Linked DNA regions of Oryctolagus cuniculus. The protein of the gene in region 1 interacts with the protein of each later gene in a biochemical or structural test. Links are inferred from orthologs where the notes say so. Each region holds a gene or a part of one and is shown on either strand. Other genes may lie near its edges. The genes, in order: HLTF, ubiquitin-conjugating enzyme E2 variant 2, PCNA and RAD18.

Region 1 (6,035 bases):
CTTTGAGAAGCACAGTGGTTAAGATGTACCTTGGGACCAGATTGCCTGGGTTTGAGTTCCAGCTCTACGTCTGTTCCCAGCTTCCTGTTCATATTCTCCAGTACCTGGATCCCTATCACCCACGTGAGAAACCCAGATTGAGCTTTCTTTCTTTCCTTTCTTTTTCTTTTCTCTCTCTCTTTTTGAAAGATTTGGTTATTGAAAGTCAGAGTTACAGAGAGAGAAGGAGAGAGAGGTCTTCCATCTGCTGGTTCACTCCCCAAATGGCTGCAATGGCTGGAGCTGTGCCGATCCAGGAGCTTCTTCCGGGTCTGCCAAGTGGATGCAGGGGTCCAAGGACTTGGGCCATCTTCTACTGCTTTCCCAGGCCATAGCAGAGGCTGGATTGGAAGTGGAGCAGCCGAGACTCAACTGGCACCCATATGGGATGCCAGCACTGCAGGTGGCAGCTTTACCTGCTAGCCACAGTGCTGGCCCCCTCTCTTTGCCTTTCAAAAAAAAAAAAAAAAAAAGGAAGAAAGAGCCACACATGCCATTCTTGGATTTCCTGTTTACCAAGTCAAACAGGGGGCGTGACATGATTGATTTCCATAAAGGGAGGGGGACAGATGAGAAAGTGTGTTTGTGACTGGGAGACAGGAGGCTGGAGCAGTTTTGGATTCCTTCCTCTTCCTCACCAGCCATACTCAAATCAATGGGTGAATCCTGCTAGCTCTCTGAGCTTTGTCAGCTCGCCATTCCAAGCCACCATTCTGTCTTACCTGGACACCATAATTTTCTATCAGTTGCTTCTATTCTTGCCTCCTAAAATTCATTCTCCACAGAACTGCCACAAGTGAATTTTTTGAAGCCTAATTCAGTCCTCATTCTCCTACTTAAAAAACATTCACTGGCTTCCTATTGCCATTAAAGTAAAATCCAAACTTTAGGAGGGTCCATGCATTAAAGTCTGCCCTTTATCTTCCTGATGATCCACTTTGTGTCAGCTTCTCCTCCTCCTTGGTCCACCAAGCAACCTACAGTTCTTGTTCCTGTTACAATCGTTCTTTTTTCACAAAACATAACCTACTGTGATCATTCTGGATTTGTACTTGTTTCATCTCAAAATGAGGACAAACTGCACTTGGTTGTTACACTAGAGATCCTGGGTCCCTCAAAGTGGGCATTGGAGGGATGAGTCAAGCAGATAACCTGCGTCCCTGGCAGCCCCGAGGCCACAGGTCCATCGTCCCAACCCCACTTTAACAAGCTTCTTCCGTCCTTGGCAGGGGCAGCCATGGGCCCACAGGGAAGCTGGTGTTGTCCATTTCCGGCAGTCGCCAACCAAGTCAGTTGTACCATCATACGTTACAGTCTTCCCGCGCTAAGAAATGACAATTTTCCTTTAACACACACACACACACACACACACTTGGGAGAAACACTCGCTCTGGAAGATCCGATGAAGATTTTCCAAACTCGGTGTATCATAGATTAAGTCAACGAGGCTTAAAATGGAAAAGAAAAAAGAAAAGAAAAAAAGACTAAGTCTCCACGGTTGCAACAGTTATTCCGCGGGTAGCCCAGGTTCTGTAGCAGAGCTTATTCAGACGAAGAAATGAAAATGAGAAAAATGAGCAGCAGAACGACGCAGAGGCTTGAAAATGTGTCTGGGCCTTAGAATGTGGCGGGGAAACAGCAGAAAGGAGAGTTGTTTTCTTCCGAAGCAGGGAATCACCAGAAAACGCAGCACCATCGCACGGTAGTCGCACTCCGACGGCCACGAGGCTTTCCCGCGCGCCCGGCTTGGGGGCGGGGAAGAACCCGGATGGAACAGCCCTTCGCAACCGGGACCCCCACTGTCTTTGAATCGCAGCGCGGGGCGGAGTTGCCCTCCCTTCCGTGTCCTGATTGGGTCATTTCCGCAGGCTCCCTCTCGTGATTGGGTGGTCCTAACGCCAGTCAGAGCGTCGCTGGTCTCTCGTATTGTTGCTGGAAGGAAACGGCGACGACGTCTGATTAGACCCGCGGCGTCTTTCCCTGTCGGTGGGAGCATTTCATCCTGCGCTCAGAACCTGCCCGCGGCTTGAAGGCTGTAGGGCCAGGAAGGACGCGTAACAGGCTGCATCAGAGCCCTCCAGGGCGCCCAGCGTCTTCCTCGTCACCCCGCACAGCGCCATGTCCTGGATGTTTAAGAGGTGAAGGGGGCGAAGGGGGTGGGGCACTGGAGCTAACGGCCTGGCGGCGTCCCCAAATGAACCTGACCTTCCCCGTGTTTCCTCCGCCTTCCCTGTGCGATTCGTGCAGCTTGTGTTTGTTCTACTTTTCGCTCCTGTGGCTAGGGGAGAAATACATGCATTGTCTTCTTGGCGAGGAGAGACTCTTCAGGCGAGTCTCGTGCCAGACCCTCGGGGAATTTATGTCACGGACTGTGGGGGGCCTGGGACTCAAGGCTTCCTAGCCCTTGCTTCAGGCAACAAAAAATATTCAGCTCCGCTGTGCCGCTACACATTGTGCTCGGACTAGAGGGTCGAGCAATACAGGCCTTGTCCCCAGGTGGTTCGTAATTTGTGTATATGCACAGACGGTTGCAAACGGTTGCAGAGAAGCTAGACGAGGTGTGCGTGATGCGGAAGGAAAACGCAGGCAAAAATAGCGACTGTCTCTTAAGAGAATAGAAACTTTCCGGAAGCCTCCACCAGACTAACGCTCATTTTCCTTCGTCCAGATTGCTTTTCATGCCTATTCCCAAAATCATTATTCATTAAAGGATTGGGGTTACCCTTAAACCAACGAATTGGGGAGCGGGAGATGACGTAGCTTGAATACCAGATTAAAATGCGGTCGGTTCCTAGGGAATTAAAGTAATGGATGCGGGATATAGTATCTGAAAAAATATAAACAACTTAATGTATGCATGCATAATAATGGTTCCATTTTTGCAAGTTTCTTCTGGCTAAGTCCTTCTTTAAATTTTGGCATAAAATTGGAGTTACAAACGTCATATACGCTTAAATTTAAGTGATTTTCACTGGGAAAGAGATTTGTGACCCTTTACAGGATTTTTCATTTTGTATGGGGGAGGGATGGACGAGCCAATTTAACAGGTGGGATTTCCGGGAGCTTTGCCTATTGCAGTCTCTGCTTTAACCAGAGTGACTGTTAATTTGTGTACAGTGATTCCCACATTAGATTTTATTTGCTAAAATAGAATATTAAAAACTATTGGCCTATAAATACGGATAAGTCTTTGAGAAGTACTTGGTTAAGTAGTGTATTGTTTTTTGTGCCTCTTCCCCTCCTTTTTTCATAGGGATCCTGTTTGGAAGTATTTGCAGACGGTCCAATATGGAGTCCATGGAAATTTTTCACGCCTCTCATATCCAACGTTTTTCCCACGTTTTGAATTCCAAGATATTATCCCTCCAGATGACTTCCTGACTAGTGATGAAGAGCTGGATTCAGTTTTATTTGGAACTTTGAGAGGTCATGTGGTTGGACTACGCTATTATACTGGAGTAGTGAGTATAACAGTAGATACTAAGTTAAATAGTGATATGTTTATGGTGTTAACCCAGAAAGTGAGAAATTTAGAAGGTGATGCATGCAGTTATTATAAATAATTGTAATATACATAGGCAAGAGATACCAAATACCTGAACTTCTTTAATATTTTATTTTTGTGTTACACTTATGATATATGCAGCACTTTTGCCAGCACTGTCACTTGATCCTTAAAATAACTCTGGAATAGATGGGACATTTATTATCCCCTTCCTATAACTGCAGCTCTGGAAGGTCAAAGCCATGTGAAGAAAGCAGGAATACTACACAAGGATACTTCAAAAAGTTTGACACAGTGAACAAGACGTGTTTTGGGATGCCCACATCTCATATCAGAGTGCCTAAATTCAAATCCCAGTTCCAGTTATGATTCTGGAAGGCAGCAGGTGAAAGTGTTAGATGGAAGGAGAGACAGAAAGATCTTTCTTCTGGGTCACTCCCCAGATAGCCACAGTAGCCAGCCCTGGGCCAGGCCAGAGCCAGTAGCTTCATCCGGGTCTCCCATGTAAGTGGCAGGGGCCCAGACACTTTTGGACCATCTCCCGCTGCTTTTCCCAGGCCATTAGCAGGGAGCTGGATTGGAAGTAGAGCAGCTGGAATGTGAAACTGGTTCCCATATGAAATACCGGCATCACAGGTAGTGGCTTTACCTGCACGCCATAATGCTGGCCACCTGTGATGACTTTTTTCTTCCTGTGTCTGTCATTCTAAATCTGTATTTTCTACTCTGTGCATGTGTATATATGAGAGGGGGCAGGAAGAAAAAAGAGGAAGAGACAGATTTGACTATGTAAATTTTTTTTTAAAGATTTATTTATTTATTTGAAAGAGTTACACAGAGAGAGAAGGAGAGAGAGAGAAAGAGAGAGGTCTTTCATCCGCTGGTTCACTCCTCAGTTGGCTGTAATGGCCGGAGCTGAGCCGATCCAAAGCCAGGAGCCAGGAGCTTCTTCGATGTCTCCCATGTGGATACAGGGGCCCAAGGACTTGGGTCATCTACTGCTTTCTCAGGCAATGGTAGAGAGCTGGATCGGCAATGGAGCAGCCAGGACTTACATGGGATGCCGGCACAGCAGGCAGCAGCTTAACCCACTGTGCCATAGCGCCGGCCCCGACTGTAACTTTATTTGGTCAGTAGTTTGCTGTGGCCATCTAGTCTGCTTGTGTGATATTTGGATAATAAACCTCTAATTTTATTAAATATGATTTAAAAATGAGCTATCAAAGTTAACAAAATTATTTTAATTATTAATAAAAATTAGTAAAAAATTTTAAACATGCATAAAAGTAGAGAATAGTACAATAAGCTTGGATATACCCTGGATCCAGATTAACAGGTTTTATTCCACATTTGCTTCATCTCTTTATTTTGTTCTTTGTGCTAAAGCAATCCCAAATGTGTCATTTTACATAGAAATCATTTAGTGTATATTTGTAAAAAAATTCATTTTCTTGCATGTAATTTTCATAATTGGCAAAATTGGGGCCAGTGTTGTGGTACAGTAGATTAAGGTGCTGCCTGCAGCGGCGTCTCATATCGGAGCTCTGGTTGCAGTTGTGGCCACTCCATTTCCAGTCCAGTACCTGCAAATGCACCTGGGAAAGCAATGAAGGTGGCGCAACTGCTTGGGCCCCTGTAGCCCATATGGGTAGTTTTGGAAAGATCCCTGGGCTCCTGGCTTTGGGCACGATCAGCCTTGGTTGTTGCAGCCAATTGGAGAGTGAACCAGTGGATGGAAGACCTCTCTCTGTCTCTTTCTCTCTGTTGCTCTGACTTTGAAATGAAGTAAGTCTTCTAAAAAATTCTTTCAAATTCTTGCATAGTTATTTCATAATATGCATTTCCAGAAACTTTGAAGACTCTTCCTACACAAGGATGTAAAAATTTCTGTGCAACAAAATAAACTTATGTTTTCATACCATTTTCCACGAACTTTTTGAAATATGCTTCCATGTGGGAATTAATGTTTTTCATCATTTTGGGGGAGCTTTGGCCATTATTTTGTCAATTATTTTTCTTCCCTGTTTTCTCTCCTGGTGCTTAAATGTGAGTTGGGTTGCTTTATGTTAACCCACAGATTTCTGAGGCACTTAGGTTTTTTAATACTTATTTCCTTTCTGGTGCTCAGATTGTGGAAGCCCAGTTGACCTAGTTTCTTGTTCTTTTTCCTACTCAAATCTGTTGAGACTAGTGACTTTTCACTTCAGTTATTGTACTTTTCATCCACAGAATTTCTGTTTGGGGAGGCCTTGTTCTTATGCTTTTGGACATGCATTCTCATATCTAAAGAAATGGATTGCTTTAGCTCTTTGCACATTTTAAATTGGCTGATTTAAATTATTTTTCTAGTGTGTCAAATATCTGTGCTTCCTTAGGGACAGTAGATATTGATTGATTATTTTCCTAAGAATAGATATTCTTACCTTGTTTCACTGCATGTTTTGTGCTTTTATTTCCTTAAGATTGGACATTCTACTTGTTTATTTCATCC
Region 2 (5,102 bases), on another chromosome or scaffold:
ATTTTTGACAGGCAGAGTGGACAGTGAGAGAGAGAGACAGAGAGAAAGGTCTTCCTTTGCCGTTGGTTCACCCTCCAATGGCCGCCGCGGCCGGCGCGCTGCGGCCGGCGCACCGCGCTGATCCGATGGCAGGAGCCAGGAGCCAGGTGCTTTTCCTGGTCTCCCATGGGGTGCAGGGCCCAAGCACTTGGGCCATCCTCCACTGCACTCCCTGGCCACAGCAGAGGGCTGGCCTGGAAGAGGGACAACCGGGACAGAATCCGGCGCCCCGACCGGGACTAGAACCCCGTGTGCCAGGCGCCGCTAGGCGGAGGATTAGCCTAGTGAGCCGCGGCGCCGGCCTATGCAAGGGAATTCTTACAATGACAGTCATGAAATGAATACAAGCCCATCCGTGGGAAAGAAAGACAATGGAAGGATAAAATTTTGAGAAAAGGGGAAAGATAAATGGACTGAATACAAACTTGGAAGAGAAGGTTCAATGTGTTATTGTATATTATCTACTTTTGGTACACATTGTGATCTTGGGAGCACCACTTAAATTTACTGATTTAAGTGGGAACTGAACTAGAAGAAACCCTAAGGTTTCCTTACAGTTTTAACAATCTGTCCTTATATGATTCTATGTAAAAAGTAGACAATAACAAGAAATAGACTGTTTTGCTTAAAAAAAAAAAACACCCAATATGGGCAAAACTCAATGTTAAGTTTTCTCATAACATCTCAAGGTTAATTAGGTACTAATTATTTCTCTCACTTGTTTGTTGCATTTGTTTAGGATGACTGCTGTGCAGTTATCTTGAAATAAATATTGAGAGAAAGGATGGAACATACCTGGGGTCACTGGAATTACAGGCTAGTGAACAAGACTACACAGTGGAGGTAGGAATGTTGGGTTTCTGCCCTGGCACTGATTGTGTGTGTGTGTGTGTGTGTGTGTAAGTAGTTTTTAATGCTTTTACTATGATTTGTTACAAATTCTGAGCTGCTTTGTATTTGTGGTTCACTTGAATGTTTTACTAAACCAGAGCTGGGCACAGAAGTCCTGGAACAGATTAGACATGATTGTGTTCTTTCCCCTTGTTCATCAGAATCTGGACAAGACACAGCAGCCATGATGGCATAAGAAAGCAAATAAACCTTCCGAACATCCTTGTCAAAGATGTTACATTTTTAATTGAAAAGAATCTTCTAATACCCATGCCCTTGCTGGCTATTCAAACTACTTCTATACTTGACAGCCTACTGCATTTTTTTCTGACTAGTCTCCCTTCTTCATTTCGCCTTTGCTACAGTTTTTTTTTTAACCACATAGCATCCAGGAGTGACCATTACAGAGGGTGCGGGCACTCAGTGGTTACAACAACACTTGGGAACTTGCATCCCATGTTTGTGTGTCTGGCTCTGCTTCTGCTTTTGGCTTCTTGCTAATGTGTGTCTGGGAAGGCAGCAGGTGATGGATGCTCCTCCTCTCTACCCATGCAAGAGACCAGATTGAGTTCCAGGCTCCCAGTTTCAGCCTGGCCAAGCATTGACTGTTGCAGGCATTTGGGGAGTGAAGTAGTGAATAGAAAATCTCTCTCTGCCACTGTCTCTCTATCTTTGTTCTCTGCCTTTTAAATAAATAACTAAATGTAATTTAAGAGAAGTCCATACCAATAAATGTTTTTGTTCTTAGTGACTACCTGTGAGTAAATAGGATGTGGAATGTGTGACAGAGTGTCATGAATAGGGGAGGAAAAAAATCAGAGCCAAAGGACAAAGAATCACCAGGGAAGAAACAATGTCAAGAAAGGGGCAAAAACATGAAAAGGATTTGGGAGGAGAGTTACACTAGAATTTTGTCCTGAGTGGGAATAATTTTATTTTCCAATTTGCAAGATAATGGCACTGTTAACCACTGGTAATGTATACTTCCAAGTACTAGAAATTTTTACTTTTTAAAAGCAGGTTGTTGGGCTGCGTCGGGCTGCAGGAGAAGATGGCGGTCTCCACAGGAGTTAAAGTTCCTCGTAATTTTCGCTTGTTGGAAGAACTTGAAGAAGGACAAAAAGGAGTAGGAGATGGTACGGTTAGCTGGGGCCTTGAAGATGATGAAGATATGACACTTACAAGGTGGACAGGCATGATTATTGGGCCACCAAGGACAAATTATGAGAACAGAATATATAGCCTGAAAGTAGAATGTGGACCTAAATACCCAGAAGCTCCTCCATCAGTTAGATTTGTAACAAAAATTAATATGAATGGGATAAATAATTCCAGTGGAATGGTGGATGCACGGAGCATACCAGTATTAGCAAAATGGCAAAATTCATATAGCATTAAAGTTGTACTTCAAGAGCTAAGACGTCTAATGATGTCCAAAGAAAATATGAAGCTTCCACAGCCACCAGAAGGACAAACATACAACAATTAATTTTAATGGATCTCAAACTTGTCTTAAATCAACAACCTTCTACTCATATTAATGTCTTGATTAAATATCACAATGCAGAATACCCACACATTCAGTAAAGAATTCCAGCTGGTATATGTGACCCGGACATTTGTAATATATTTAATATATGTACACCCATTATGTTTTCAGGTAACGGGAGGAAAAATGCAGCACAATTTTTCTTTCTCTTGTTGAGGCACTGTCATTTAAACATAAACCTGGAGTGCTCCAAGTAGGATTCGGGTTTACAAGACGCAAGCGTGGCGAGACGTGTGAGATGGCAGTGGAAACGTGTGTTTCTGAAAAGTAAAAATCCCAAGAAGGACAAACAGAAATGGCATGCTTTTATCCATCTTGCTTAGTGAAAGAGCTGCAGTTGAAATTGTTTAAAGTAGCAGGTACAATGAATATTGTCACAAATTGTGTTAAATTTTAAAGCGGTGTGGGTGCTGACTACTAGTAGTATAAACATATGTTCAGGATTGTTTTGATACCTGTATTTATAATAAAAAAATGTTGGGGGGGGGTCGATGAATTTCTGTTAAAAGCTGTTCCTGTGTGTTACATGTAACAGACATGGTAAATATTTGTTTACATTCTTTGTTTAACAAACCATGCATTTAAGTTCAAGTGAAGTCAACAAAAAAAGAAAATAGGTGTATGGATATGTGATTTTGAGATTAAAGTTAGTCATAAAATGTAAATAAAATGTGGAAAGTGTCCTCGGGAAAAAAAAAATCAGGTTGTTGATGGTTTTTCTTGGTACCAAATAAATTGAAAAAGAAAGGAAAGCTGTGCATCTGCTAAGAAAAGGTGAAGCAACCGTTGCATAAGGCAATGGAAGCTGTTCAGCACAAGCCTTTCAGGGAAAGATCTGGTGTCTTATAATGTTACAGTTACTATGGTGACAATGCATTTTTAATGACACCATTAAATGGTGGTATAACTACTTGTAACCAAGGAGTGCTGAATACTCACAGCTGTGTTGTTTTGAGTTTATGTGACTTTTCTCCAGGATGGTTTTTAATGACTTCAAAATAAAAGTGTTCTATAACAGAACAGTACTTTGGTGTATAAAATATGTACATTTTAGAAACAGAAAGGACCTTAGAGGGCCTTAGAGGACGTTAATTCTCCCCATCTCACCATACACATTCACACACAGAGAATGAAAACTCCTACATGTTTATACTTTATAGATGAAAATCTAGAGGCAAAGATTATGTTGTTTTTTATCATATCATTTCACTGGTGACAGAATTAAGATAGCAGGTTTTCTGACTCCTAGAATAATTTCTTTCCACCATAACATGTGGTATCTTCCCCCAAACAACATGACACATAAAATATTAAATATTCTTTTCACACATCAAAGTTAGTAAGAGGTTCCAATGAGTTTATATCACCTTGTGGGATTGTAAGGTGATCAGGACCCAAAGGAAATATTAACGAATGAGTAACGTAGCTGATAGAGTCTATAGATAGAAATAAAGAGGTTCATAAATCCTTTAAAAGTATTAGCAAATGTCCTTAGGCAAATATTTCTCTAGTGAGTGACTTTGCTATGGTTTGACTATGACTTGGCCCTAGTACTTATGCAGGGGTTTAAATCCCCAAGCCCTATATTAATAATACTAAGAGAGTGGAAATTAAATACGATTATGGTGTTAAGAGGTAGGGACTTTGAGAAGTGATAAAAACTACATTATATTGGGTTTTTCAAAGAGGGGGAGCTGACTGGTCTAATCTAGACGATGATAGTAAAAAAAAGTGGATGGAGTGCAATCTCAGGGAAGGGTTAGGGAGAAAATGGCAAAGGAAACTCCACACAAACTAGGGGGGACACTATGGAACAATGTGGAGGTTTTGGATGCACACAGCTTGGGACCCCAGCAGCTGAGAGCCTCAGTACCAGCTTTGGAGTGAGGTGAGACCAGACTGCAGCAGCCCAAGCCACTGATGATAAAGCTATGGGAAGAACCTGGTATGGGCCTGGCTTGGAGCTCTGTGGGGGACAGTGTAGCTGTCAACCTAGAGGGAAAAAAGGGGACATGTTTCTCTCTCCCCAACCACCCAGCACTGGCATCCTGTAACTAGCTGACAGAGGGTGGGTGCATTTTGGACATATGTAACAGCTGTGCCAACTCTTGTCACCATGCCCAGCAACCAGCCAAGAGGAGGCACCTGAGTCTGGCTGGGAGAATTAACAGGGGACTGGGTGCTTATGACTGTGGGAGCCTTGTGTGTGAGGACTGTGAAAACAATGTGGCTGTGTGGGAGGGCACAGGATGTGGCTAGGGCTTTGGGCATTCATGTGGGCAGCTCCACATGCTTGGTCTTCCTGATTCCCTGGTGAGGGTCATTGCTGCAGGATCTGTGTTCACACTGAAGACTGCACAGATCCTTTGTGTTGTTCTTGTAGCAGCATGGATGAAAATTATACCGACTGGGGCTAGTGTCCAAGCATTGGTTTCCTTTGAGGAGAAGAGGTGAGTGTGAGAATATGCCAACAGAGCAGAAGAAAAAAAAAGATTTATCATGCCCAACTTGGGTGTCACCTTGGATACTCCCTTCATCCTATCACTAAGCAGAGCACCCTGACCACACTCAGCACACATCTCTGGGACACTCCACTAAATCACAGAGAAATAGTCCAAAGATA
Region 3 (6,077 bases), on another chromosome or scaffold:
AGCAAGGGATTTGTTCTCATAGATGAGGGTGCTTCAGAAAGTCGTGGGGGTGTGGGCGCTGTGGCCCAGCAGGCTAACCGTGGCTTGAGATGCCTGCAGCCCATATTGGAGTGCCAGTTTAAGCCCTGTCTCCCCTGCTTTTGATCCAGCTGATGGTCCAGATTGTTGCGTCCCTACATGAGAGACTTGGATGGCGTACCAAGCTCCTGGCTATTGTATGCATTGGGGAAGTGAACCAGCGGATGGACGACCTGAGTGCGTTCATTTGTGTCATTGTGTCTTTCAAATAAATCTGTAAGTAAAGATCATGCAAAATGATATTAAAATATATCTTGGTGCAAAAATGGAAATACATGCTACACACTTTCCATAAGCTTTTTGAGGATCCCAGATATAAATGGATTTTTGAAATCTTTGCCCCAAATAATTTTTTTTTCAATATCCTTTCATTTACTTGAAAGTCAGAGTGATAGAGACAGAGGCAGGGAGAAAGAGAGAGAGGTCTTCCATCCGCTGATTTACTCCGCAAATGGCCACAAGCAGCTGGAGCTTGGTCAATCCAGCGCCTGGCCAATACACAGCCAGGAGCCAGGAGCTTCTTCCAGGTCTTCCATGTGTGTGTGTGGGCCCAGGAATTTGGGGCCATCTTCCACTGCTTTCCTAGGCCATAGCAGAAAGCTGGATCGGAAGTGGAGCAGCCGGGTCGCCCATATGGGATGCCAGCACTGCATGGAGCGGCTTTACTCACTATGCTACAGTATTGACCCCTAAAATAAAATCTTCTATCTGGGGCCAGAGCTGTGGCAAAGGGGGTAAAGCTGTGGCCTAAAGTGCCAGCATCCCATATGGGCGCCAGTTTGAGTCCTGGCTGCTCCACTTCTGATACAGTTCTCTGCTGTGGCATGAGAAGGTAGTAAAAGATGATCCAAGTCCTTGGGCCCCTGCACTGGCATGGGAGACCCAGAAGCTCCTGGCTCCTGGCTTTGGATTGGCGCAGCTCCAGCCGTTGTGGCCATCTGGGGAATGAATCAGTGGATGGAAGACCTCTCTCTCAGCCTCTGCCTCTATAACTCTGCCTTTCAAATAAATAACTCTTAAACACACACACACACACACACACACATCGTCAAGAAATACAAGCATTTGAAAGATACCGATCTGTAACACTAAACTTTTCACACAACTGAGCACGGATTTAAAAATGAGACTTTCAGTATCTGTAGTCAAGAAAACATAGGAGATGAGCACGCTTACACACACGATCTTTAGAAGCCAACTAGTAATTTATCTGAATGAGTATACTCTTCATTCATCACTGCTACTTCAGGGAGTTGAACTCACAAAAGCACCCAAATGCCCAAAGGTGTTCTTAATAACAGGAATTGGTCATTAGGTCGCATACATGGGACGTTACGGAACCTTTATTAAGTAAATACCGAAAAGATGTTCGTGACATACTCTGTTGGAACGTGAACGTATTTCTTTTTAAATATCTTTTTATAGAAGAAAGTGTAGAAAACTGTAGACAGCAAACAGTTGAGAGATTATATGATCTTGGTATGTGTGTGCTGGGAGCCAGTGATTCTCCCCTCAAAGCGAGAGGCTTAGAAACCAACACAGCGCACCAAGCTCGACGGTCACCCGGTGCTTCGTCGCCCAGACATGTCTGGCGTCCGCCCCAGGAACTAAGAAAAACGCGGGGCGGCTGGCAGTGCGTCACCCTGTCGGCCTCCGAAGGCGCGCTGTGCGCCTGCCCCGCCCCCGCTTCAGCAGCCTCCAATGACTGCCTTTCGGGGGCGGGCTTTGCGCGGAGCAGGAACACGATTGGTCCTCAGGATCCCTTCCGCCCAGCCGGTGGGCGGGGAAGCGTCGTGACGCCTTAACACGGGGCGCAGGGGCGGAGAGCGCGCGCTTACAGACGCGGCGGCATTAAACGGTAGCCGGCGCTGCGAACCAGTCGTCGTCTTTCGGGGGGTCTTGGGTACACGCCGCTGTATTCGTCCGCTCGTCCTGAGCCTCGCGAAGAAGTTTCAGCCAGAACTTTCTCCTTTACTCGCCTGCAGCCGCGACACTGCGACCCCGCCACCATGTTTGAGGCACGCCTGGTCCAGGGCTCCATCCTGAAGAAGGTGCTGGAGGCACTCAAGGATCTCATCAACGAGGCCTGCTGGGACATCAGCTCGGGCGGCGTGAACCTGCAAAGCATGGACTCGTCCCACGTCTCCCTGGTGCAGCTCACCCTGCGCTCCGAGGGCTTCGACACGTACCGCTGCGACCGCAACCTGGCCATGGGCGTGAACCTCACCAGGTAAGCCCGGGGCTCTGGCCCACCGCCATCCCCGGCTCTTGGCGGGAGCGCCTTCGAGGCGGGCCCTCATTGGCTGGGGTGGGCCACCGGCGCCTTCTCATTGGCCTGCCACGGCGGGAGGCGGGACCCTGGGGAGCGCGCGGTTCCGAAAAGCCCGCGCTGGCCGCCGCGCGAACCGGCTCTTTTCCGCGCCAACGTCACAAAAGCGAGTGGTGGCGGGAAAACGCCTGTCGCGGAGCGCTCTGCAGCCCGGAATGGGGAAACCTGTGGTCGTGTTGACTCGCACTGCGTTGTTACGTGCTCTCGTGGCAACGTGTGGCTCTGTGTCACCCTTCTTGGGCCACATGATGTTTCTGGGTCTTTATTACACGGTCGCACTGAGCATCCTAAACTGGATTTGTCCTGGGGACATTTCCCCGGGGCATTGGCTTTCAGCTTCCTGACTGCTCCCTGTCTGGTCCGTGTATACGGTTAAGTTTTAAAAGGCTCGAGAGAAATAACTCCTAGTGCGTGGGGCGTGTTTCAGGTTTGTTAGCTCACTTAATAACGGTCGTCGTGGCCCACTAATTTACTAAACCCACTGGAGGGATTTACAGTGCACAAAATACTGCTGTTTATGTGTTACACCCAGAGCTGAAATTGCTGGTGTGTTCCGGTGTTAAGTATTAGTAGGACCGGGTTGCCTTCCTGAATGGTGCTGGACCCCTGAACCCAGCCTCCAGCCAGTTTCCCCTCACCTGTCTATCACACAGCCTGAGGGGTGGGCATGGTAGCTCCTGATTGCGCTCGGAATCTAGATTTAGAGCAGATGGTGTTGATTGCAAACCGTATCTTGTGTGTTGTAGCATGTCCAAAATACTAAAATGTGCCGGCAACGAAGACATCATTACACTGAGGGCTGAAGATAATGCGGACACCTTGGCGCTAGTATTTGAAGCACCAAGTAAGTCATAACCTTGTACTGAGTTATGCTATAGGGAACTAAAATCTCTCTTGATTCTCAGCTGTGAGAATTTTAAATTTTTTGTGATGGTCGTAAAAATTTACATCATGATTATAAAACATTTTTCTTAACATTTGCTTTCTTTTCGTAGATCAAGAGAAAGTTTCAGACTATGAAATGAAATTAATGGACTTAGATGTTGAACAGCTTGGAATTCCAGTGAGTATCAGCTTCTGATTGCACATAGTCATCAGTTACTTAAGATGTGTTAATATAACCTAATGCCTACTGCCTATATATCTAGATTTTCTTTTTTTTTTTTCAAAGCAAGATTTGTATATTTGTATGACAGTTGTCATTTTACTAAACTGTAGCAGCCTAAAACTGACTGTGGGGTGAATTCATTTTTTGCTGTGGAGTGCTTACTTGCATTAGCCTCTGTGCGTCTTTTTTTTAATTAAGGGTGGGCTTATCACCATTAAATGAGAACAGCTGTTGGGAATGTTTAAAATGTAAAATGCATAATGTGTTTTCACTTTTAAGTCTGCCCCATCACTACTGTTCGAAACCCTAATATCCTCTTGATTTGGCTCTGGAGGATCATTAAGAGGTTCTTGTATGATTATTATGCCATACTACTTTTAGTTGGAGTGTGAGTCATATACTAACCAGTTTTTAATTAAAGATTTGAGAAGCAAAGTGGCAAACAGATGAAAAGAGATCTTCCATTCACTAGTTCACTCCCTAAATGGCTGCAATACCTAGGCCTGGCCCAGGCCAAAACCAGGAACCTGGCATTCCCTCTAGGTCTCCCACAAGGGTAAAAGAGGCCCAAACACTTGGGTCATCGTTTGCTGCTTTCCCAGGTACATTATTAGCAGGAAGCTGCATCAGAAGCAGGGCAGCTTGTATTTGAACTGGCATTACAGTGTGGGCTGCCTGTGTCTGCAAATGAGTTTAACCTGCTGTGCCACAATACTGGTCTCTAGTAATGTTTTAAAGAAATCAGAAAAACCTGAGATCTGAGTTTAGACGTTTGCTTAAGAGTGAGGATGTCAGATTTCCAGCAGTTAATGTTAAGTTTGTTTTATAGGAACAAGAGTACAGCTGTGTAGTAAAAATGCCTTCTGGTGAATTTGCACGTATATGCCGAGACCTCAGCCATATTGGAGATGCCGTTGTAATATCCTGTGCAAAAGATGGGGTGAAGTTTTCCGCCAGTGGAGAACTGGGAAATGGAAACATTAAGTTGTCACAAACGAGCAATGTTGATAAAGAAGAGGAAGCTGTAAGTAGTAAAGTTAGATTTAGCATTTCTCAAATATTTTGGAGAATTGTAATGTCCAACAAATTAGGTTAATTATGAAAGGTAAAAATAAAAATGCATTCCAGGTTACTTGTGAAAATTGAAAATATTGCTACTATTTGAAATCTGCAAGTGATCCCATTAAGGGATCTTCAAAATTTTATGGAAAATGTGTATTATGAAAACTACATGGATTAAAAACTGCACCAAAACTTATCTTTTAATTCCATTTCCTGCATACTTTGTAAACTGCCCATGTCTAAGTGCCATCCAGTGTAGAATCATCTGAAAACGGAATGCACTGAACTGTGGCTTTGTGGGTTTAAAATAGGAATTCCCAAAAGATTTGGAAAGTAGGCATCTGTCCCCTAGGTTTCTGGAGATGTTCACTCTGTTTATGCCAAATGTACACAGGACAGTTCAGTGGTTGGGGTAAAAGTCTAGCTAGTATGAGCTCTTATAAAGCTAATATATAATGGTTACATGTGTTGTAGCTGCTATTTTAACCCATTTTAAAGGTAGAGAAGTAGACAATCATGTTTTTAAGCATTTTTTAAATGTTTGAGCTAATATGGTCAACTAAAATTAAACTATTTGCTAGCCTGAGCATCAGTTAAAACTCTTTGTAAATCAACAATTAAAGATCTTCCTGGGATTATTTTAATTTTTGCCATATTCTAAGTGCTTAGCACAATGTCTGGCATTTTAAGGTTACAGTAAATGTTAGGTATTTTCCTGTCCCTTGCCTGCATAGTCCTTCCTTAGTTTAAATGAAGGTGTAAAACCTAAATATCTAAAACATCTGTCTTGAATTATATTCCAAACTTCTGCCAGTGTTTTCAAAATTAATTTTAAGACATTTCAGTAGAGTTCATACATTGAAATTGGCTGTTATACCCCTTAAATTTCTTTCAACCTCCTGGTTCCCTTTTCTGTTGAAGAAACTGGTCGCAGAACTTTCCAGTTCTGGATCTTGCAGATTGCTTCCATATGTGTTCAACCTAAACATTTTAGTGTTTGCTCTATACTGGTAACTACAGCTGTAGAGGCTTGATGCTATTCGGGGTTTGGTCTTACTTGTTTCGGGATAGGAGAACATGAGTACTTCATAAGTGGTGGTCCTAGTGGCGGCACAAGGTGTCTGGACATCATTTTGTGATGTTGACAGTCGCCAGTAGTCACTTTCCTAGGTAGGGTTTGCAGAGTTGAAAAACTCATTAAAAACTTTTTTTAAAGAGAATCTTTCCCATATCCTATGAAATGGTCAACTAAAATACAGTTCATATAGGAAAGATGGCTAAATACTACATTCTTTTGATTTAACTTACCAGACTGTTTCATAGCGCCTTCCGAAGTGATCAATACAAATTAAAATGTATATTATAAACTAAGATTGCAGCTTGTTTAATGATTCATCTTTCTCTAACAGGTTACCATAGAGATGAATGAGCCAGTGCAACTAACTTTTGCACTGAGGTACCTAAACTTCTTTACAAAAGCCACTCCGCTTTCTCCTACAG
Region 4 (5,495 bases), on another chromosome or scaffold:
TGTAAATAAGACTGGACACAGTGTGTTCCGTATCCTGTTTGTCTCTCTGCAAAATGATGCTGTCTCCAGCATGGTAGCTGGCTTGCTGAAATCCTTGAACGCTGTTAGTTCCTTTTCTCAAACGTTGTTCTTCAGGACTCAAGCATTATAGGGCCTTTGCATTTTTGTGGAAGTTTCAGAATGATTTATTATTTCCTCTCCCAAAACAGTGGCTTATCAATTGATTGGGATTGCATTTACTTTGTGAGTCATTTTGGAGAAAATAGGCATTTTAACACTGTTGAGTCATCTGGACGATGACTAGAACCTGGAATATCTGTTTATTTAAGCCTTCTTTTATTTCTCTTAAGAATGTTTTGAAGTTTTCAGGATATAGGTTTTACACATTAAAAAAATGTATTCCTAGATGTTTAATATTTTTGATGTTATGTAAGTGGTATTTAAAGATGTTATTTTCTGCTTGCTAATATATAGAGACACATTAATTTCTTGTTTATTGACAGGGAACCAGGACCTTGTAAAAATTCATTTATTCCAGTTTCTTATAGATTGAATTTGATTTTCTGTGTGCATAATCATTTCACCTGCAAATAAAAAATACTTTTTTGTGTGTTTCTCTCCAAATGCAATCATTGTACCTTTTCAAGATTTATTTATTTTGAAAGTCTAAGTTACAGAGAGAGAGAGAGAGAGAGAGATTGATTGATTTCACTGATTCAGTCCCCAGATGGTCACAACGGCCAGCACTGGGCCAGCCCGAAGCCAGGAGCCAGGAGCTTATCCTGGTCTCCCATGTAGGTAGCACCAGCCAAGGACTTGGGGGCATCATTTACTGCCTTCCCAGGTGCATTGGCAGGAAGCTAGATTGGAAGCAGAGCAGCTGGAACTTGAACCAGCACTTGGCCATAGTTGCAAATTGTGGTTCTGTGCCACAGGATGTGTCTCTTTTCTGTTCTTTGTTCTCTGTTATTATTTGCTTCTATCTCTGGTTTTAGTTTGATGTTTCTAAGCTTGGAATATTGTTTGTTTCTTATTAATCCAATTTTTCCTTTAGGGACTACTTTGTTAAACTCTCATGTTATCATTTACCTCAGAATATCTTTACATTTCCATTGTGATTTGTCCTGTATAGTTATTTAGAATTGTGATGCTTATATAATATTGGGATATTTATTAATTATTTTTCTGTTAGTTTAGTCTGAATTCTAAAGTGGCAGATTTTGATTTTTTATAAGATTTGGAAGTTCATAATCCTCGATTTTTCTGATATTTCCCATTCTCTTCCTGCTTCTTTTGGATACCAGTTATTATCTCTACAGGAAGTCTTCAAAAAATTCATAGAAATGTCTGTTATGAAAAACCTATGGTGGGTTTCACTTTTTTTCAGCAAAATAATTTTTGATTTACCCTTATATATCGTACTTTACTTTTATTGTCTTTTCTCTTCTTTTTTCTCTCTCTACTTGGGTTTGTGTATTTCTTGTTGTCCTGTCTTAATGATTACTAATACCGTCCTCTGCTGTCTCCTATTATACTCATCCAGCTTTGCAACTGTAGAATGTTCATTTGATTATTTCTAAAGGATTTTAATACTCTCTTGAAGTACATTATCTTTTTTATCCATTTGTCGTCTTTTTTTCTGTAACTTGCTTATCACAGTTCTTTTGAAGTCATGCCTGCTAATGCCTCTTTTTGGATTACCTCTGGGTTTGCTTCTGTTGACTGTTTTTTCTCTTGGTTAGTGCCTGTGTTTTTCCTTGCTTCTTTGCATGCCTGGTAACTTAAAAATACATGCTGAGTATTGTAGGTGAAATATATAAGCTGTGAATTATCCTCATTTGAAAGATGTTGAACTTTGTTGTGATGGCAGTTGAATGAGCAGCTCTTCAGCTCTGTTCTGGTGAGGTGAGGTGCAGTGTTTGGTTGGGTAAGGTTGACTTTGGCTTTGCTTACGCTTCTGCACAACTTGCAGAAAATTCTCCTGGGGTGACCCTCATGAGAGTTTTAGATCACTCCCCGTGTCTGTTCTCCCTTGTATTAATTACAGCCCAGTTGTTGTATGTTAGAAGAAAGTTGTTTTTGATTACAGAATAAACCTTGGGGTTGGTGCTGTAGTGTAGCAGGTAAAGCTGCTGCCTGCAGTACCAGAATCCCGTATGGGTGCTGGTTCAAGTCCCAGCTGCTCCTCTTCCGATCCAGCTCTTTGCTATGGCCTAGGGAAGCAGTGGAAGATGGTCCAAGTCCTTGGGCCCCTGCACCCATGTGGGAGACCCAGAAGAAGCTCCTGGCTCCTGGCTTCAGATTGGTGCAGCTCCAGCTGTTGTGGTCAATTGGGGAGTGAATCAGGGGATGGAAGACTTCTCTCTCTCTCTCTCTCTCTCTGCTTCTCTGCCTCTCCTTCTCTCTCTGTTAACTCTGACTCTCAAATAAATAAATCTTTAAAAGAAGAGAGAGAGAATAAGCCTCATATCAGCTGTTCCATGACCAGAGCCTGAAGTCTGCCATTTGCTTATACACACCGATGAACTATCTTTGGAGTCAGGTTTATTGCTTTTGTTTTATTCCAGCAGCAACACTTTGGTTTGGTTGTCATTATGGCCTAACTTCTGTATCTCAGAGGAACAAGTGTTAACTGGGAAAACAGTTTGTGTTATTCCCCTAAGCATCATTTCGTGTCCTGGTGATGGGTTGAGTGTTGTTACATTAGTATTTTTGGCTGATGGGAAAGCCTGCTGTGTTTCTGTGCTTTCAGGAGTCATCTGTTGCAGTCTGCTTTGGAGTCGCCTCCCATCTCTCCCGTGTCCTCCTCTGCGAAGAAGCTCACCGGCAGAGCCCTCACTCCTGCTGCCGCCAGACAGTCTTCAAAGCATGGCCGCAGACTGATAGACAATTTCTTGATCAAGGAAGTTGCAAGTTCCACATCAGAGTTGTTGATAAACGAAAAGGAAAGCAAATTGAGCCCTCAGACAGAGGCGGGCCCTTCTGCAGAGCCCAAGGAGACATGTTTCCCAGAAAAGGTGACTCCTGGCTCCATGGAGGCCAACGGTCCCGAGACCCCCTCTACATCCACTTTGAAACAGGTTGCTAAAGGTAGGAAATTCTTACGTGACAATTCATACTCAGCGGTCGTCTCCTGGCCTCTTACCCGTGTAGACCTGAGAGACCACCCCAGATCCCTGTAACTCCACGAAGTTGTTTGGGAGTGACGAACTAATCTTAGCATTACGTGGGGAATTACCAATAAAAGCTAAATCAATCAGTTCGTGCCCGTTGGAAAGGTGAGCAGTAGTTGGGCCAGCCAGTCAGTGCGTTGATGAAGCTGCTCCTGCCCCTGCCTTGCCTGCAGACCCGGGCTGTCTTCCCCAGCCTGTTGTGATTGCGTCTGTGCTAAATACGGATGGCAGCTGACGCTTGGGAAAACCTAGGACTAGCTTAGAGTTTGGTCGTACCTTGCTGGAAAAGCTTAACCAGAGCATTCTCCAATAAATCAACTTGCAGGCTCATTTGCATTCTTTTCCTCTAGGCCCAAGATTCTAATTGTGTGACTCCCCGCATATAGCGTTACCCGGTCCTGTTGCCTTCATGGGTTATTCTTTTTCTCTTCTGTTTTTCTAAGTATATGTTAAATTGGGATTCCGTTTTTTGTCTTAATTGCTGAAAGGTATTGGCTTATATAATTTTTTATTTTTCTGCAAATAATAACACCCTTTTCTCTTTTTAAAAAATACAGTGGATTGTCCTGTTTGTGGGGTTAACATTCCAGAGAGTCACATTAATAAGCACCTAGACAGCTGTTTGTCCCGTGAAGAGAAGAAGGAAAGCCTCCGAAGGTAAGATAGTTGAGCGCGACTCTTTATTTCTTCTAAGATTTATTTATTTATTTGAAAGGCAAAGTTACAGAGAGAGATGTAGAAACAGAAAGAGATCTTCTTTCTGTTGGTTTACTCTTCAATAACCACAAAAAGCTGGGGCTGGGTCAGGCCGAGGCCAGGAGCCTGGAACTCCATCTGGGTCTCCCACGTGGGTGCAGGGACCCAAGCACTAGGGCCATCCTCTGCTGCTTTCCCAGGCGCATTTGCCGGAAGCTGGATTGGAAATGGAGTGGCCAGGACTCACACCGTCACCCATGTGGGATGCCGGTGCTGAGGCGGTGCCTTTACCTGCTGCATGACGATGCTGGCACCGCAGCACAACTCGGCGCCTTTCTGTAGGTGTTTCCTAGGCTTTACGAATTTGGAAAAAAAGGCAGCGTTCACTCTGCTGTCTGCCCCAGCCCTCCAGTCCCCTTCTCCTTTAGCTGTGACGTCTCCCAGTCCCTGCCCGCTTGCTGTTTCCTCAGCTCCCACTCGGTCAGAATACTTAGCTGAGTCGGGTCTGGGGACTGCTACTAAAATTTTAAACGTCGGAGACCGCAGTTCATTTCTTTCCAAGCTCGTCTGTGAAATTGGGTGTTGTGGGCCAGAGCTGTTTTCTGCTTTCCCCATCCCCAGGGCAGGAGCACCGATCAGTGGGGCTTGCTGGGGAGCGTGAGGCTTAAGCGTCCAGGAGAAGAAGACTTGGAAAGAAGACGGAAGCCGAAGAAGTGAATGGGGATCGGGAAGTGGGCGTGACTGGAGCGATCGGCTCCTTAGTTTCCTCTGTCTTGAAGGACGTAGCAGACTGATTTCCAAAAGCCGTGAAGTAATAGTACCTTGTAAAGAAGGCAGGACCGTCTTACTGTTTTTGTGATTAGAGATAGATGCCGCTTGATTTTTGAGCAAGTTTTAAGGGAGTCCAGGCTCTGAAGAACACTTGGTGTCACGTGATCCAGAAGGCAACCTACAGCACAGCTTACTGTGTTAGCTCCTGGTTGGGGACGTGCTTGAGAATGGACCCTGGGCAGCTGCGTACGCACAATGCTCCCACCTAGTGGGCAGTGTGTAGGAGAGAATAAAGGTTTTAGATGGCTTAGTTAGGAGAGACTTGAGATAAGTTAAGCTGGATGGTCCCACAGGTTGTTTCCCATACGTCGTGGGAAGTCTGCAGGCTGCCTTTCTCTTTGAGGGTGTTTGTTCCTATAGAATGAGTTGGGAGTATGGAAGCTGAGTATTTTCTTTCTCAAGAATAAAGAATTGCTTTTTCTGGATACATCTGTCATGTTTCTGCAGATATGTTCAGCTCAAAGACAGCCTTGTCCATGATTTGTCAGTGTCCAAGAGTGAACAGTGCAGTCCAGGGGCTGGTGCTGTGGTGTAGTGGGCTAAAGTCTCCGCCGGCAGTGCCGGCATCCCATGTGGGCGCTGGTTCCAGTCCTGGCTGCTCCTCTTCCGATCCAGGTCTCTGCTAAGGCCTGGGAAAGCAGTGGAGGATGGCCCAAGTATTTGGGCCCCTGCATCCATGTGGGGGACCTGAAGGCAGCCCCTGGCTCCTGGCTTTGGATTGGCCCAGCTCAAGCCGTTGTGGCCATTTGGAGAGTGAATCAGCGGTTGGAAGAGCTTTCTCTCTGTCTCTGCCTC

Evidence for each region.
Region 2: the proteins of HLTF (region 1) and ubiquitin-conjugating enzyme E2 variant 2 form a complex in vitro, tested with the Homo sapiens proteins (2 studies listed by BioGRID). The link is inferred for Oryctolagus cuniculus from reciprocal best matches to the Homo sapiens genes HLTF and UBE2V2.
Region 3: of the proteins of HLTF (region 1) and PCNA, one has a biochemical effect on the other in vitro, tested with the Homo sapiens proteins (2 studies listed by BioGRID). The link is inferred for Oryctolagus cuniculus from reciprocal best matches to the Homo sapiens genes HLTF and PCNA.
Region 4: the proteins of HLTF (region 1) and RAD18 form a complex in vitro, tested with the Homo sapiens proteins (2 studies listed by BioGRID). The link is inferred for Oryctolagus cuniculus from reciprocal best matches to the Homo sapiens genes HLTF and RAD18.

Annotation. Positions count from the first base shown.
Region 1 is NC_091435.1:132,373,890-132,379,924, forward strand, and holds the start of HLTF (helicase-like transcription factor), read left to right. Parts: upstream 1-1,907; 5' UTR 1,908-2,157; coding exon 2,158-2,177; intron 2,178-3,292; coding exon 3,293-3,500; intron 3,501-6,035. UniProt on the Homo sapiens protein: Has both helicase and E3 ubiquitin ligase activities. Possesses intrinsic ATP-dependent nucleosome-remodeling activity; This activity may be required for transcriptional activation or repression of specific target promoters.
Region 2 is NC_091441.1:59,362,930-59,368,031, reverse strand, and holds ubiquitin-conjugating enzyme E2 variant 2, read left to right. Parts: upstream 1-1,941; 5' UTR 1,942-1,981; coding exon 1,982-2,419; 3' UTR 2,420-3,178; downstream 3,179-5,102. UniProt on the Homo sapiens protein: Has no ubiquitin ligase activity on its own. The UBE2V2/UBE2N heterodimer catalyzes the synthesis of non-canonical poly-ubiquitin chains that are linked through 'Lys-63'. This type of poly-ubiquitination does not lead to protein degradation by the proteasome.
Region 3 is NC_091442.1:30,188,767-30,194,843, reverse strand, and holds the start of PCNA (proliferating cell nuclear antigen), read left to right. Parts: upstream 1-1,847; 5' UTR 1,848-2,087; coding exon 2,088-2,308; intron 2,309-3,153; coding exon 3,154-3,251; intron 3,252-3,402; coding exon 3,403-3,470; intron 3,471-4,344; coding exon 4,345-4,539; intron 4,540-5,986; coding exon 5,987-6,077. UniProt on the Homo sapiens protein: Auxiliary protein of DNA polymerase delta and epsilon, is involved in the control of eukaryotic DNA replication by increasing the polymerase's processibility during elongation of the leading strand.
Region 4 is NC_091441.1:117,604,192-117,609,686, forward strand, and holds part of RAD18 (E3 ubiquitin-protein ligase RAD18), read left to right. Parts: intron 1-2,752; coding exon 2,753-3,090; intron 3,091-3,730; coding exon 3,731-3,830; intron 3,831-5,495. UniProt on the Homo sapiens protein: E3 ubiquitin-protein ligase involved in postreplication repair of UV-damaged DNA. Postreplication repair functions in gap-filling of a daughter strand on replication of damaged DNA.